2 linked regions of the Caenorhabditis elegans genome follow. The protein of the gene in region 2 interacts with the protein of the main gene of each other region in a pairwise test. Each region holds a gene or a part of one and is shown on either strand. Other genes may lie near its edges.

Region 1 (8,795 bases), on a different chromosome or scaffold from region 2:
AGCTGAAAAACTCGAATTTTGTCTCACATTTTTTGCACATTTTTTGAACATTTTTTGTACATTTTTTGCACATTTTTTGAACATTTTTTGCACATTTTTTGAACATTTTTTGAACATTTTTTGTACATTTTTTGCACATTTTTTGAACATTTTTTGCACATTTTTTGCACATTTTTTGCGCATTTTTTGCACATTTTTTGCACATTTTTTTGCATATTTATTGCACATTTTTGCACAGTTATTGCACATTTTTGCACATTTTTTTGCATATTTTTGATAAATCCATATATCCTAACACTTTTTTTTTCTTCTTTTTCCGATTTTACAAGGTTTTTCGGAGAAAAAAAAATTTCTAATGAATATTTCAATATTTTCTAGACATTTTTTCTCTGAAAAACACTAAAAATCGAAAAAAAAACCCGATTTTCTGTATTTTTCAGGTAAAATTTTTAATACTGGAGAATCGAAAAACGGTAAAAAAGTAGATATTTCAGCTAAAATTAAGCGTTTTTTTTTTACGAAATCCGGTTTTTTAAAGCTATTTTGTGATGAAAATTTTTATCAACAAAAAAAAGAAGATTTTTTTTCCAAAAAAATAGTCAAAAATTAGAGATTTTAGCTAAAACTAGGCGTTTTTTTCTAATTTTTTTTTCACGAAATCCGTATTTTCTAGACCATTTTAAATATCAAAAAAAAACATAAAAATCAGTAATAAAAACGCCGTACCACTGGCATATTATAGACATTCTTGAGAATAAATTCGATATCCCGTGATTCAATTTTCTTCACCTCCCGATTCTTGATCATTTTGCATGCTTTATCGATTAGAGAACTGACAAAATCGTCGGCGTACTCCACAAGAACATCTTTTACATTTTCTTCGAGTACTGTTGTTGAGCTGATTTGTTGCATCAAATCATCCAGTTTTGACTGAAAAAAAAATTTTAAAAAAAAGAAGATTTTTTAAAATAAGAATTTTCGGTTTTTTCAGTGAAAATCAAAAAATCGGAAAAAAAAATTTTATAGAGTTTTTGAAAAAAAAAAACTACGAAAATTTTAGGCTATTTTTTTTTTTTTTTTTATTAATTGTTATAATTTTCGATTTTTTTGTTTGAAAATCTTGAAAATCGAAAATTTAAAATTTTTTAATTAGAAAATTAAACAAAAACTCTTAATTTTACAAGAATTTTTACAAGAAAAATTACCAAAAATTTAGGCATTTTTTTCAGTGAAAATTTAAAAATCGAATTTTTAATAGCAAATTTACAAAAAATTCCATTTTTAATTTCATTATTTTTTCAGGAGCAAAGCAAAAACTAGTGTATGCAGAAGTTCGAATTTTTTTCAAAGTTCAAAAAAAAATTTAAAAATTGTATTGAAAAATTGGAAATTTTCGTTTTTCGTTTAAAAAAAATCGAATTTTCAATAAATTCCGGCCATTTTTCAATACTTTATAGAAAAAAAAAATCACTTTTTTCAATAAAAATCAGCATATTTTTTGATAAATCTATAGCTTTTTCGTCCCCTTCCGTGAATTCTTTGTGCATTTTTTTTCCTATTTTCTCTGAAAAAAAAGACCGAAAAATCTGAAATTTGCTCATTTTCTATGAAAAGACAATCCAAAAAATTTTTTTTTTGCGAATTTTTGCTAGAGAAATTTGTAATTGAAAAAAAAACTAAAAAATCAGAAAATTTTTTAAATTTTCCTGAAAAAACCTGAATTTTTTTCGATTTTCTTTGAAAAAAAATCGGAAAATCTGAGCTTTATTCGATTTTTTCTGAAAAAATTTCAAAATTAAATAAAAATCAATTTTCCAAGTATTTTTGCCGGTTTTTTTGCCGAAATTTCCAAGTATTTTTGCCGGTTTTTTTGCCTAAATTTCCAAGTATTTTTGCCGGCTTTTTTGCCGAAATTTCCAAGTATTTTTGCCGATTTTTTTGCCGGAATTTCCAAGTATTTTTGCCGGTTTTTTTGCCGAAATTTCCAAGTATTTTTGCCGGTTTTTTTGCCTAAATTTCCAAGTATTTTTGCCGGTTTTTTTGCCGAAATTTCCAAGTATTTTTGCCGGTTTTTTTGCCGAAATTTCCAAGTATTTTTGCCGGTTTTTTTGCCTAAATTTCCAAGTATTTTTGCCGGTTTTTTTGCCGAAATTTCCAAGTATTTTTGCCGGTTTTTTTGCCTAAATTTCCAAGTATTTTTGCCGAAATTTTCAAGTATTTTTGCCGGTTTTTTTGCCGAAATTTCTAAGTATTTTTGCCGGTTTTTTGTTGCACCTTTTCCATAATACTTCCATACGGAACAGCGGCCGGTATCATTTGAGGTGGCGGTGCCTGTTGCTGTTGTGGCTGTGGAATTGGAGGCTGTTGAATTTGTTGAGATGGTGGTGGCTGCTGATGTTGCTGCTGATGTTGTACTTGCATAATTTGTTGAGGAGGCAGCGGCATTGGAGACGAGTTTGGCTGGAAATTTTGAAAAATTTTGCCCAAAACTAATGGTTTTTATAGTTTTTCCATTAAATCGGGCTCTTTTTGAGCTCCAAAAAATATTACGCCACGACAAATTTGGCGAATTTGCCGGTTTTTTACGAGCTCGATCGGTAAACGTTGCCTTTTTAGTTCCGGCAATTTGCCGATATGCCGGAAATTTTAATTCCGGCAATTTGCGGGAAAATTGAATTCCGACATTTTGCCGATTTTGTCGGAAATTTCAATTCCGGCAATTTGCCGATTTGCCGGAAATTTTAATTTCAGCAAATTGTCGATTTTGTCGGAAATTTCAATTCCGGCAATTTGCCGATTTTGTCGGAAATTTCAATTCCGGAAATTTGCCGATTTGCCGGAAATTTTAATTCCGGCAATTTACCGGTTTTGCCGGAAATTTCAATTCCGGCAATTTGCCGATTTGCCGGAAATTTCAATTCCGGCAATTTGCCGATTTTGCCGGAAACTCACCACAAATTGTGGTGGTCCACCACCTCCTTGCTGCTGCATCATATGTTGTGGCGGAGGCCCTCCGACCATTCCCATTAAATGTCCAGATGGTCCTGGCTGGAAACATTTTAAAATTAGAGGATTTTTAAGCGGATTTCCAAAAATAACTGCAGAAAAAGTCTTAAAAATGCCCAAAATATGCGAAAAAAAAATTTTTTTTTTGAAGAAATTATACAAGCCTTGAAATTTTCACCGCTGCTCCGCTGCTCCACTGCAGAAATTGTTTTGTAACATTTTTTAGAACAATTTTTCAGAGATTTTTGATCCCGTGGACCCAAATTCCCGAAAAAAGGTTTTTCTTGGGTCTCAAACGGAAGCTTTTTTTAAATTCAAATTTCCCAGATAATAACCGCCCCCGTACCCCTTGAGCCATGCCCATCTGCATTGGTCTCTGTTGCATTTGCATTGATTGCCCATTCGGTGTGAATTGTTGGGGCTGCTGCTGTTGTGGAATACCCATTTGTTGAAAGTGTTGCTGCTGCTGCTGCTGTGGTGGTGGAGGGCCCGCACGCATTTGTGGTGATGGGTATGGCATTTGGCGGACTAAAATTACGAATTATTTCATGAGAAGCCTTATTAAAGAGACGGTGTAGTCACCGAAAATATGAAGATTTTCGCTAGAATTAGGCGATTTTCGGAAATTCAGCATAATTGGAACATCGTCCAATCAGCGTACCGCTCCGCCCACTTCTGGACCAATCAGACGGAGTGGGCGGGGTTTGAAGATGCTGATTGGTAGGAAAATACTCGAAAATTGGTAAATTAAATATTTTAAAAAAGCGATTTTTAAAATGGAATTCTTTGAATTTTTTAAAAGCGATATCTACATTTACCCAAAGCCGCCTTAAATTACACCTAAATTAACGAAAAACGTGAAATAAATATGCAAATTAGGATGAAAATTGAATAAAAATCAATTTCTAGCCACCCTGGCACCGAAAAAATGGAGATTTTAGGCGATTTTCGGAATGTCTGGTAGATCATGGTGTGATCTGCAAAAAATGCGGGAATTTTTGGCCCAAAAAATGTGACGTCAGCACGTTCTTAACCATGCAAAATCAGTTGAGAACTCTGCCGCATTTTTTGTAGATCAACGTAGATCAAGCCGAAATGAGACACTCTGACACAATGTGTGGTTAGGAAATTTGAAAATTCAGCAAAATTAAAACAGCGACCAATCAGCGACCGGCTCCGCCCACTTTTGGACCAATCAGACGGAGTGGGCGGAGAGCTAATTTTAGTAAAATTTGAAAATCACGATTTTTTTTCCGTTTTTTTTGTGGTTTTTCTGAATTTGAAACTATTTTTTTTGGATATTTTTAAAGGTGGTGTAGTCGAATGTTTTTATTTGCTTTATTAGACTCAAAATTGTCTGAAAACACCGAATTTCATAGTGAAACTGTTTGAAAACTTCTCAAAAAATAAGTTATGACGGTTCAAAAAATGACCTAAAATTAGTTAAAATTTGAAATTTTACCGACTAGCCAAGCGTCTGGAAACAATTTTTCGAAATCACCGTCAAATTTTAAGTATACAATTTAATTATCTTGCGTTTTCAACTTCATTTAAGTATTTTAAAGTCGATGGACGGCGAGATTTGGTTTTAAAAAATTTAAAAATCTCGTCGTCCATCGATTTTTAAATACCTTAATCAAATTTAAAACACAAGGTAATTAACTTATATACTCAAAATTTGACGGTGATTTCAAAAAAAAATGTTTCCAGCCGCTGCGACATTGATAAGTTGGTCAAATTTCAAACTTTAACTAATTTTAGGTCATTTTTTGAGCCGTCATAACTTATTTTTTGAGAAGTTTTCAAAAAGTTTCACTATGAAATTCGGTGTTTTCAGACAATTTTGAGTCTAATAAAGCAAATAAAAACATTCGACTACACCACCTTTAAAAATATCCAAAAAATAGTTTCAAATTCAGAAAAACCACAAAAAAAAACGGAAAAAAATCGTTAAAAAAATTTAAAAATCTCGCCGTCCATTGATTTTTAAATACCTAAATCAAGTTGAAAATGCAAGAAATGCACTAATTTTAGGCCATTTTTTGAGCCATCATAACTTTTTCCTGAAAAGTTTTCAAGAAGTTTCATTATTAAATTCGATGTTTTCAGACAATTTTGAGTCTAATACAGCAATAAAAAAAAAATTCAACTACACTCTCTTTAAAAATATCCAAAAATACATTAAAATTCAGAAAAACCACAAAAAAAAAAACGGAGAAAATCGCGATTACAAACTCCGCCCACTCCGTCTGATTAGTCCAAAAGTGGGCGGAGCCGGTCGCTGATTGGTCGCTGTTCCAATTTTGCTGAATTTCCGAATTTCCTAACCACACATTGTGTCAGAGTGTCTCATTTCGGCTTGATCTACGTTGATCTACAAAAAATGCGGCAGAGTTCTCAACTGATTTTGCATGGTTAAGAACATGCTGACGTCACATTTTTTTGGGCCAAAAATTCCCGCATTTTTTGTAGATCACACCATGATCTACCAGACATTCCGAAAATCGCCTAATTCTAGCGAAAATCTCCATTTTTTCGGTGCCAGGGTGGCTAGAAATTGATTTTTATTCAATTTTCATCCTAATTTGCATATTTATTTCACGTTTTTCGTTAATTTAGGTGTAATTTAAGGCGGCTTTGTGTAAATGTAGATATCGCTTTTAAAAAATTCAAAGAATTCCATTTTAAAAATCGCTTTTTTTAAATATTTAATTTACCAATTTTCGAGTATTTTCCTACCAATCAGCATCTTCAAACTCCGCCCAATCTACCTGATTGGTCGAAAAGTGGGCGGAGCGAATCGCTGATTGCTCAGGCATTTCTCATTTTGGAGGTAATTCGAAAAATCATGTTTTTCGAGTTAACTTTTTCACTTTTTCGCGATTTTTTTCTTTTTTCTTCGGAAAAAACGTAAAATAGCCGACTAAAATAGGCGGAATAGGACAAAATTGGAGATTTCAGCTAAATTTTGAGCAATTTTTTTTTCATTTTTCACGGAATTATTTCTGAATTTGAGGCATTTTTTAGGAGTTTTTTCTTCATACTTTGCTGCTGTGGCATCTGCATTCTCATCGGGCCGCCCATTCCACCCATCGGCGGTTGGCCCACAAACTGCTGCTGCTGCTGCTGTTCGTTGGGATTCTGATGGCCTTGTGGCGGAATTCCCTGCTGCATTGGCTGAAAATGTGGGTGATAGACGTGATATCCATGATGGTAGGGCCACATTTTTTAGTATTAGTAAATATATATATATATATGGACAGAGGACGACGAGAAGCTTTTGTGATGGAAATGGTTTTGTCGGGGGAAGAAGAGAAGCACAATCGATATGAGAATAATACACATACACTTTGGACGTTTACGGGGGAAAAAAAACGGAGAGGCGCTCCGATTTTTTATTATTTTTATTCGTTTTTTTTGTTTTTTTTTTGTCGGCTGGCCGGTGAGTCATTGTTGGGACAGAAAGCAATAATTAGAGAGCGGACACACAAATCGCTTACAGAATTCGTGGAGAGAGCGGCGGCGATTTGCGGGTTCGCCTGCACGATTACGTGATTATTCGGTGAAGTTGGAGGTGAGAATTCTTCCATTTTCATTTTTTATCTGCAACTAAGTTTTTTTTTGATGATTTTAAAGCTTAAAATCTTTCGGAAAACCGAGGAAAATGGAAATATATTCATAAAAATGAATAAATTCGTTAAATTCGATAAATTTTCCACAGTACCTCGGTCGTTGTGAGACCCAATGTTAAACAAAAGCATTGCGCCTTTAAAGTTATACGGTGAAACTTTTCAAGCAATTTCTATTTTTTTCCGAATTTTTAGTTGCTAATTATTATTTTTGATTAAATATTACGAGAAAAATTTTAATTTTGAAGAATTTCTTCAAATAAAGTTTAAAAAACCGAGGAAAAGTCAAAATTAATAACTGAAACTCGGTTCGCTGTGAGACCCAAACTTAAAAATAGCAATGCGCCTTTAAACTTATACGGTTGTATTTTTAGGCAATTTAAAGTGAATTTATGTTTTTTCCAGAATTATAGTTGCTAGCTATTATTAATTTTAAAACCGAGTGAAAATTTTAACTTTGAGAATTTTCTTTTAAAAAAAACCAAGGAAAAATCAAAATTAATGACTGAAACTCGGTTCGCTGTGAGACCCAAAGTTAAACAACAGCAATGCGCCTTTAAAGTGATACGGTGGCGATTTTCAAGCAATTTAAAATCAAATTGAATTTATTGGAAAAAATCAATGAAAAAGACCTAAACTAATAAATATTCAAAGTTTTATTCTCGAATTGCACATAATATTATGCGCCGAAACCTCGTAAAATTAGGCAGATTCTGATATAAGGGAAAAACGATCCGAAAAATGTAGGACATTGGGGGAATAGAGACGTAGGGGGTGGTGGCGAGAAATTGAGGCCAATGAAGAGAACGAGAGACCTCTCTAGCTCTTTTCCGTCTCTTCTCGCAACTATCTCTCTCTCTCTCTCACTAGTGTGGTTTATTAGAACCTAAATGAGCGTGGCCGTGGGAAAACCTAGGCCACGCCGTTGCGAGGAAGTGCAAGTAAACAGAAAAAAGACGACGGCGGACGTCTTATAAAAACAAACATGTCACATTTTGTTGTCCACTCTGTCATTATTTTGCGAAAGAATTGGGATCGAATTGGGAAGTACATTTTTGGGTCTCGCCGCGATTGTTTTCTTTAATTGAATATAACTGTACCATGTGATCACTGGAAATGGAAAAACATATTTTATCTAACATTGGTTGAGGAAAAGGCAATAAAAACAATTAAAATATCGAGTTATTACAGTACACCGAGGTTTAAAGGCGCATGAGGGTTTTGAAAAGTCAAAGTAAAACTGGATATTAGCGTAAAATTTTGTTCGGTCATAATCGAGTATATTCGTAAAGTTAAAAAAAAATTTGGGTGTTTGGTTTTAAAATAATGTTTTTTTGAAAATTGAGTTTTTACTAAATTTCAGCTAAAGAAAAACTTGAATTTTAGTCGAATTTTGAACGGTGGGTAATAATTTTTTGTGTTTATATTATTATTCAGACATCAGTAAGTAAATTGGTAAAGTTTGAAAAAAATTTGGGTGTTTGGTTTCGAAGAAAATAATTTTTTGAAAATTTGAATTTTTATTCATTTTCAGCTAAACTAAAACTGAAATTTCAGACAAATTTCGAACGGTGGGTATTAATTTTTTGTGTTTATATTATTATTCAAAGATCAATTAGTATATTGGTGAAGTTTTAAAAAATTTGTGTGATTGGTTTTGAATAAAATAATTTTTTTGAAAATTGGAATACATATTAATTGGGAGCTAAACTAAAACTGGAATTTCAGTCAGATTTTGAACGGTGGGTATTAATTTTTTGTGCTTATATTATTATTCAGACATCGGTTAGTATAATCGGTTAGTAGATTGGTAGTTAAAAAAAATTTGGGTGTTTGGTTTTGAAGAAAATAATTTTTTGAAATTTGTAATATGTTCATCGGCAATGGCTGGTGGCCTAGAATTTCCCAATTAGGCCATCAAATCTGAAATTAAAAAAGCACATATTCAGCTGTAAAATAATTTATTCAACGTGTTTTTCTTCACAAATCACAGAAAATATTCAAGATTAAATGGGCTAGATGTTGACAACGACGAAAATAAGATTAAAACCAGTTTCAGTTCATTTTTCTTCTTCAAACAAAAAAAAGCGTATAAATTAAGCAGATTGAGCAACACGGGCGGCCCGTAGCCTTCCAGCTTCTCGAATTTCATTCATCAAC
Region 2 (7,083 bases):
TTCAAAATTGACTAATTTTTACGTTTCCTAGAGTTTTCTTTTTGAATATTCAATTCAATCTTTAGAAGTTCTCAATTCACACGAAAGTTTTTTGTCTCACCCAAAAAAACAAAGCGAGAACAAGAATCGAAAGCCACCTCATAATCTCTTCGCCACAACAAAAAGTAAACAAAAAACGATGGGCGACAGAAAAAACAGTGTAAAAAGAATCGATTGTTGTCAAAAAAAAGCGAGAGACGAAGAGAAGCCGACACAAATAAATAGGGAGAAATAGGAAAATGAGAAGAGTGACAGCTACTGAAAATACTTCACTTAACATTTAAAATACGTGTTTCATTGAGCTTCAGAGACACTACAAATGTGAGTATCTCGTATTCTTGAATAAATGTGTGGGGGAATTCGCCTAGGCAGGTATACCGTATGCCATATAGCAATAAAAACTAGTATTATTACATACTTCTATGTCAATTAATGAATACTCATCGTCGCTTTTAACGTTAAGTTTATTTTACTTTTAAAAAATTATCAATTTTTAATTTCCCCCAAATATGAAAATATTTTGAAGATTATATTTAAATACTTATTTGTTTTTCGCTTTTAGACAAAAAGTGAGTATTGACCAAATCTATCAGTTTCGAAAAATTCAATTTTTGAATTCGGAATTTGGCGCGAAAACGCAGTGACAATCAAGAAGGTGGCAAACAAGCGTAACTAAATTTCGTTTTTTTTTTGGGGGTTCGTCAGAAAAATATTTTCATATTATGCTAGTGAGCAAACCAAGGGAATTGGGTATAACGGAAAAAAATAAATATATTTCTCAAACCGACGAATCAAATCGTATTTGTTGTGGTTAGTCAGTAGTGATGGGGGACATTGAAACCCATCAACCGGTTCTTTTGATTCGATGGTTTTTATTTAGGTGACAGAGACGGAAAGCTGTGTCATCGATGATACATTAAAACATTGACCCATCTGTGAGAGACAACGAAGCATCAATTACGAAACAGTATTAATGTTAACTTGAAGAACTATGTAAGAAGCTCATTTTAAAAGAAAAGCGTTTTCTTTTAGGGTTTGCACAAACTTCAAGGAGATTCTAAATAAATTTAGCTTTCCACAGTTTGATTGTAAACACTTTCTTGAATAATTGTTAAAAAATTAAATCAGATGACTTTTAAAAAATTGAACAAGGTAATAGGAGCTTGTGCTACCTGCGTATTCAAACTTTCTAGTGTCTGTTTAAAGCAAAAATAAAACTTCAGAGATTGATAAATAAAAGTTCACAAAAATGTATAAGCGTTTACAACAAAAAAGTAGTAGATAGATAAATGGGAAAATTGAGATTCAGGTATGATTTCAACAGGATTTAGCAAAAATATTTAGATTTGGGGAGTTCCATTATTCGACGAGTAGGACAATGGCGCGCCTTCGACGATATGGTGAGATGGTGTGGAGTTGGCTGAATTTGGAGCAGCAGGAGCCGCAGAACCAGAAGCTGGAGTTTCTGGAATCGAAGATGGCGTTGAAACGGATCCACCACGCATTTGAGCAAGATCATTTGGCTGAAAATTTGTTAATTAAAATCGATTTATGAACACATTCTTATGTTTTTCATACAAACTGTTCATAGAAAAAAGTTCTAAATTATCTGTCCAAAAATATAAAAATTTATCCTCCACTATTTGGTTGCTCATAACGTTCACATATTCACATGATATAGTTATTCTTAAAACTCTAAACATACCGTCATCTTCTCTTCAGTATAGAGCAGCATACGATGAAAATCGGTTAAATGTTCGAGAAGTCCCCACGCGCCGAGGAATCTCTGACTACAAGTGGCACATTTGAGACGATGTCGTGGTTCTTCTGGAAAACAAATTATTGAGATGAAGTATTCAAGTAGAGAGATAACTAAGAATTGAATTTCATACTTCAATCTATATACAACGTTTTTTTAAGTATCAAGTTAACAAATGAAACAGTATGAAATTAAATCCCACCTGGATCCTTGTATTTATTACAGCCAGCGATTCGATGTTCCTTGAACTCTTCAAAATCACTTGTCACGAAACGGCAATATCCACACACCATTGTGTCGCACATTTCTGTAAATTAAAAATGTTTAACCTATTCGTTTCTTACTGGAAAAAATATCAATTTTAAATATGAATTTAATTTCTCTGGTTTTGGCGGATACTTTGATTTTTTGATTCAATCAACAGAAAAATATATAATTTCATCAAAAACTTGTTGAAAAATTTGAAACCAATGTTTCCAAACCCAATAAATTTTTTAAGTTTTAAACTCTCACCATTCGGTGCCAACTGCTCATTGATAGTTGTATCTCCATTTGCAAACTGCTTATTTCTTTTGTTCTGCTTGAAGATCTCGTACTCCTCGTCTTCATAGGGGCGTTTGGCGCTGAAAATACAAAAATTAATATTGTTGGTACCAGGGGTATGAAAGAACCGTATTAAATGGTTTCAACGTTCAGCGAAAATCGCTTTCCCTTTTCAAATTTCATGATTTATCCAAAGTTCGAGTTTGTCCTCGAAATTCGAATTTTTTTTTTTTGAAAACTGAGCACACCGCAGTAACAATCCAACTTACACAAAGAGTGAAACGCCATCGCATTATAACGTTTTTCTTTAGAAGGAAAATATAATGAAAGGAGAAAAAATGAAATAATTCGCTATAACTTTTAAAAACCATAATCCTCAAAACTATTTCGAAATGAAAAATAAAAAGAATAAAAAACCCAAAATGATGAACCTTTGCGCGGAAGTATCGACAGCATGTTGTGTCAACGGTTTCCCAACAGGAAGTGGGGCCGGAGCAATAGTATTTCCTTGGCGACCCTCGTTTCCAGTTGGCTTTCTCAATGAGCCCAACATTGCCAAATGAACATCTGAAATCGGGGACACATAAATAAAAATAAACAAATTTTAAAAACTGTATAAATCGAATAAAAAGTAACTTCGAAAATGTTTCTAATGAAAACCGAAAATAAGAAAAGGTAAAAGAAATTATGAAAAAAGTTGAAATAAAAAGCTTTCAGACGAGAAGCTATTTGAGCTGCAAAATTCGCCGATTTTTAATTTTGGTTGCATTTGGAGAAAAATTATATTCAGATTCAGGTCCTTACCAAGACAACAAGCTTTCCATGACATCCCATTGAGTGAACGGCATGACTCGTCGGCACTACCAGCTTCATTGAATTGAACAAATCCGAAACCTTGTTGCTGAAAAATCAGGAATTTATTTTCCGGCAAAAAAGTGAATTCAAAGTTATGTCATCAATAAACTCGGACTTTGCGGTGGCTATTGAATATTCAGGAATTAACTTACAGCAAAATAATTAACAGCAATTATTTTTCCAAATGGACGGAACAGTTCGATGATATCGTCACGCGTGATAATAGCACGGGCAATGTTTCCAATGAAAACACGAGCTCTGTAAAAAATCATTATAAAAACTAAAACGATACACGATTTTTCGTTCGATAATTTATATAACATATTCTTTAACTTTGTGTGCAGTTATGTTTACTCTGGAAAATGAATAAATCCCCATTTTCTCTCTATTCTCTTTACTCTTTCATGGTCACTTTGTGTCGGTCTTTTGCTTCAAAAATGTTTACTTTCCCACGACCTTTCTTGCATTTTTTCCGTTCTTTTCTCTCATTTTCTTATTTCATTTATCAAATTTACGTTCAAAACATTTATTTTCGTACCTGATCATATGAGGATCCTTAGATGATGTATCATAACTGATATCGCTGTTTACCGCTGCGCTTCCAACTCTGAAAGTTTTTAGGATTACGCTGACGAAGCTGATTTTTTTTTGTTTTTAACGAAAAATCTATTTTTTGGTTTTTTTTAAACCAAAAAACCCTTTACGTACTTCAAACAATTTTCATATTTTACAAATATGCTTTAGCAAAATGTGGTTTTTCATGGTTTTCAATAATTTTTTTCTAAAAAGTTCCAAATAAATCGAAATTCGGTGTTTTTTTACAAATTTCAAATTTTTGTTTTTCGGTCCCGGTCTTGCATCTCATTTAGTTCTTCTTAAATCTTAAGTAAGTTTACTTAACGTGATTCGGCTAATCCAATTAATTTTAAACAAGACAGTTTTGAAACGAATTTTAATGTATTAAAAAGAAAACTAACAGATTAAGAATAGTGCTGTATGGAGCACCAGTTCCATCTTCTGAGAATGTTGGTCTTTGCTCTCCGTAAACTGAAGTTGCGGGTATTGATGCAGCCAATGCGGCAGCAGGAGTTGTTGTTGTCTGGGCACCTCCAGCACCTCCATAGTATCCGTACTGACCGTATTCTGAATGTTTTAATTGGTTTTTCAAGATTTTTAAAAGGACAATGTAATTTCTGATATTCTATTCTAGAATTAATTATTAATCAAATCAAATTTTAACATCACTCGACTATCTGGCAGTTATTTAATAGAATATCATATTACATCGGTATCGCTTTTCCCAAAAATTTCTAAACAACTCCAATTCCGCTGCCGAAGTTGCCTACTTATTCTCTAGTTTATTTCTCATTTTGCATTAAAAACACTAACCAGCACTCATTTTCCATTGATTCTCTGAAGTGTTCGGGATGAATGACGTTTATCACTGAAAATCTTCACTAAAAATTTAAATAATTGAGAAAATTGAGCAAAGTTTGAACATAACGGTTAAAACACGAACATAACATAATTGGAAAAGATTATCGATCGCATGAGTGGTTCAGAGTGGGAAGAGGTGACAATGGTTTGAAAATGAGAATAATGGGAAGAGAAAATCAATCATAATGCGCAGACAGGGTATGTTCATTCCTAATGCAGTAAATTTTTTGTTTTTTTCCTAAAACAGAATCCCACCTTGAGGGGTTTTTAAAAATAAGTGTAAATAAAATTTTCAGAACCAATATTGAAAAGGTATTTCTATTTTTAAATTTATTTTGTGGGCTGAAACAAAAATTGTACAATGTACAACAAAATTGTTTAAAATTTTTGATTCTGCATGCACTAGAGGCACTGAATATCACGACATTTCGAATTTCAGTTTTTATTCGCCAATTTTTCTTGTTTCCTCGAAAAAACCAAATTAATCTTTAAAAAATTGGTATTTCTTTCCTAGCGTTTCGGCATATTGCATCTCATTATGATCTCTTCTTGTATCTTTTTCAAATGCCACCACCTGGTGATAGACTCTTTCGAGAATCTCTCCCCGTTCGCATCCTTACACAAAAACTTATGCGGCTCATTCTTCAGTGGTCCGATTGGTGCATTCGGCGAACACTGATTGCTCCCTCTGTGTGCCTTTGTAATAAAAAACTTTTCGTTGTTAAAAAGAAACGTTTTTTGTCGTTATCTCGAGCTTGGCAAAAAAAGTTAGATTGCTTTTTTTCCGGCCACAATACTTGTTTTTTTAGAAATGGTTACATCTTCAACACCCAGACGTGGGTTCCACATACCGACCACATTAAATCACGAATCCCTTATGGTAATTTTTAAATCGGAATTTTTCTCATACTTTATAATTTATTTTTAGGCTCAAAACTCGCCAATATCGATGAGATATTCAGTATCATGTGGTGGTGGGAAGGGAATTGGAACTACTGGAACATATAGCGGAGCTGGGGGACAAGTTAGCGATAGTCACCCATCAGTTCTCGATTTGAACAGCGAAAACCGAGTAATGGACCGAAAAACGGTAAGAAAAGTTTTTTTCAATCTTTCTATGCATGAAATTGTGTTTAGGTTCACTGGAATATGCTTCTCCTCCTCTTCATGTCAGTTTGCTCGGCATTATTCACCGTTGTTGCTCTACAATTCCACTTTTCAAATGCCGAACGATTTCTTCGCACCGCAAAATCACCGGCATCGGCATATCGAGGAGTAATCGATGTCATTCGGGATGTCATCGCCTCATTCGACGTGGCAATCGTGATTCTGTCGATTCTGGCATTCTTTGTGTCTGCTCTTCAATTACTATTCCTGATGAAGATAGTAAAACAGACACAACAACCGGATGATATTGATGTGTTAGTGCTTTTCAAAAGTTTCACATTAAATAGCTTGAACATTTTAACATTACAGGGCACTTCGATACATCAAATCAACCAGCTTTTTAAGAATTGTGGCATTCTCGTTTTGGTTCGCATCAATAATAGTCTTCGTGATCGGTGAGTTTCTTAAATACTATTCATACGCGATTATAAAAATTCAAAAGAATGAATTCGCTAGAATACAAGAAACAACTCTGCAATTCTAATATTTTCAGTGCTAATGCTCACAGTCTCAATTGACCCATCGCGAAGTTTGGCCTCAAAATGTGTATCGATTACTTTAGGATCTTCCGCCGTCTTTCTTGCCACTTGCTTCGCCGTGAAAACCCTCTATTTCTGGGCAAATCATTCTTGTGGGCACGTCTACCGCGAGGATTGTTACAATTACCTAAGCACACTGGTCTGAATGTATTATTTTTATAGCTTGTTATTCTACCCACTTCTATATTGAGCTTTTTCATCACGCAAAGTTTCTCAAAATTGACACCAATGATCTGATTTATTTCATACACATAAGACTAATAATGAATTCTTATTGAAATCCTGATTAATGGATCTTTTTTAGTTCATTACTAATACAAGGCTTATGTTCATGAATTCGAGGGAAAACTAAAAGAAAACAGAACAAAAATGACGGAGCAGACATAAATCAAGATGCGGATAAATAGTAGTAACATACATAAGAGATATCTATTTTGTGTTTTGCAATATTTATAAATATTGTTTTTTTTTAATTTTAGTAAAAAAGTTTGAGAAGCAAGTGAGAAAGTATATTTTCAGAAGAGTAAAAAAAAACAAAGATTTGCAAGAGAAAAAAACGTTTTCAAAATTGTGTTCTGAATGCCTTTGGACGCGTCGCGGTGGCGCTGCGTGTTCTTCCAGCATGGCATTTTTTCCAAAGAAGAAACACGTTTGCATTTGTTCGTCGCCCATTTTTATTCGTACATTCCGTACAAATTTTATCAGTTTCTGATAGATTTAATATTGTACAATGAGAATTTCCTA

The links. Proteins that work in one complex are often made in the same cells at the same time.
Region 1: the proteins of hrpc-1 (region 2) and taf-12 interact in a two-hybrid assay, tested with the Caenorhabditis elegans proteins (one large-scale study listed by BioGRID).

The regions. Positions count from the first base shown.
Region 1 is NC_003281.10:11,862,673-11,871,467, forward strand, and holds the start of taf-12 (Transcription initiation factor TFIID subunit 12), read right to left. Parts: upstream 6,610-8,795; 5' UTR 6,603-6,609; coding exon 6,507-6,602; intron 6,184-6,506; coding exon 6,051-6,183; intron 3,535-6,050; coding exon 3,353-3,534; intron 3,049-3,352; coding exon 2,953-3,048; intron 2,461-2,952; coding exon 2,275-2,460; intron 931-2,274; coding exon 727-930; intron 1-726. Other genes in the region: Y56A3A.6 (WH2 domain-containing protein), read right to left, coding at 8,732-8,795. UniProt on the Caenorhabditis elegans protein: Part of the general transcription factor complex TFIID. Plays a role in recruiting taf-4 to the nucleus and thereby activating transcription initiation by RNA polymerase II, as part of the TFIID complex.
Region 2 is NC_003279.8:6,923,821-6,930,903, reverse strand, and holds hrpc-1 (RRM domain-containing protein), read right to left. Parts: upstream 4,648-7,083; 5' UTR 4,596-4,647; coding exon 4,586-4,595; intron 4,340-4,585; coding exon 4,174-4,339; intron 3,804-4,173; coding exon 3,735-3,803; intron 3,455-3,734; coding exon 3,349-3,454; intron 3,243-3,348; coding exon 3,146-3,242; intron 2,909-3,145; coding exon 2,773-2,908; intron 2,422-2,772; coding exon 2,312-2,421; intron 2,106-2,311; coding exon 2,001-2,105; intron 1,867-2,000; coding exon 1,745-1,866; intron 1,563-1,744; coding exon 1,380-1,562; 3' UTR 1,239-1,379; downstream 1-1,238. Other genes in the region: C48B6.9 (uncharacterized protein), read left to right, coding at 5,445-5,513, 5,562-5,723, 5,771-6,054, 6,110-6,195, 6,294-6,484.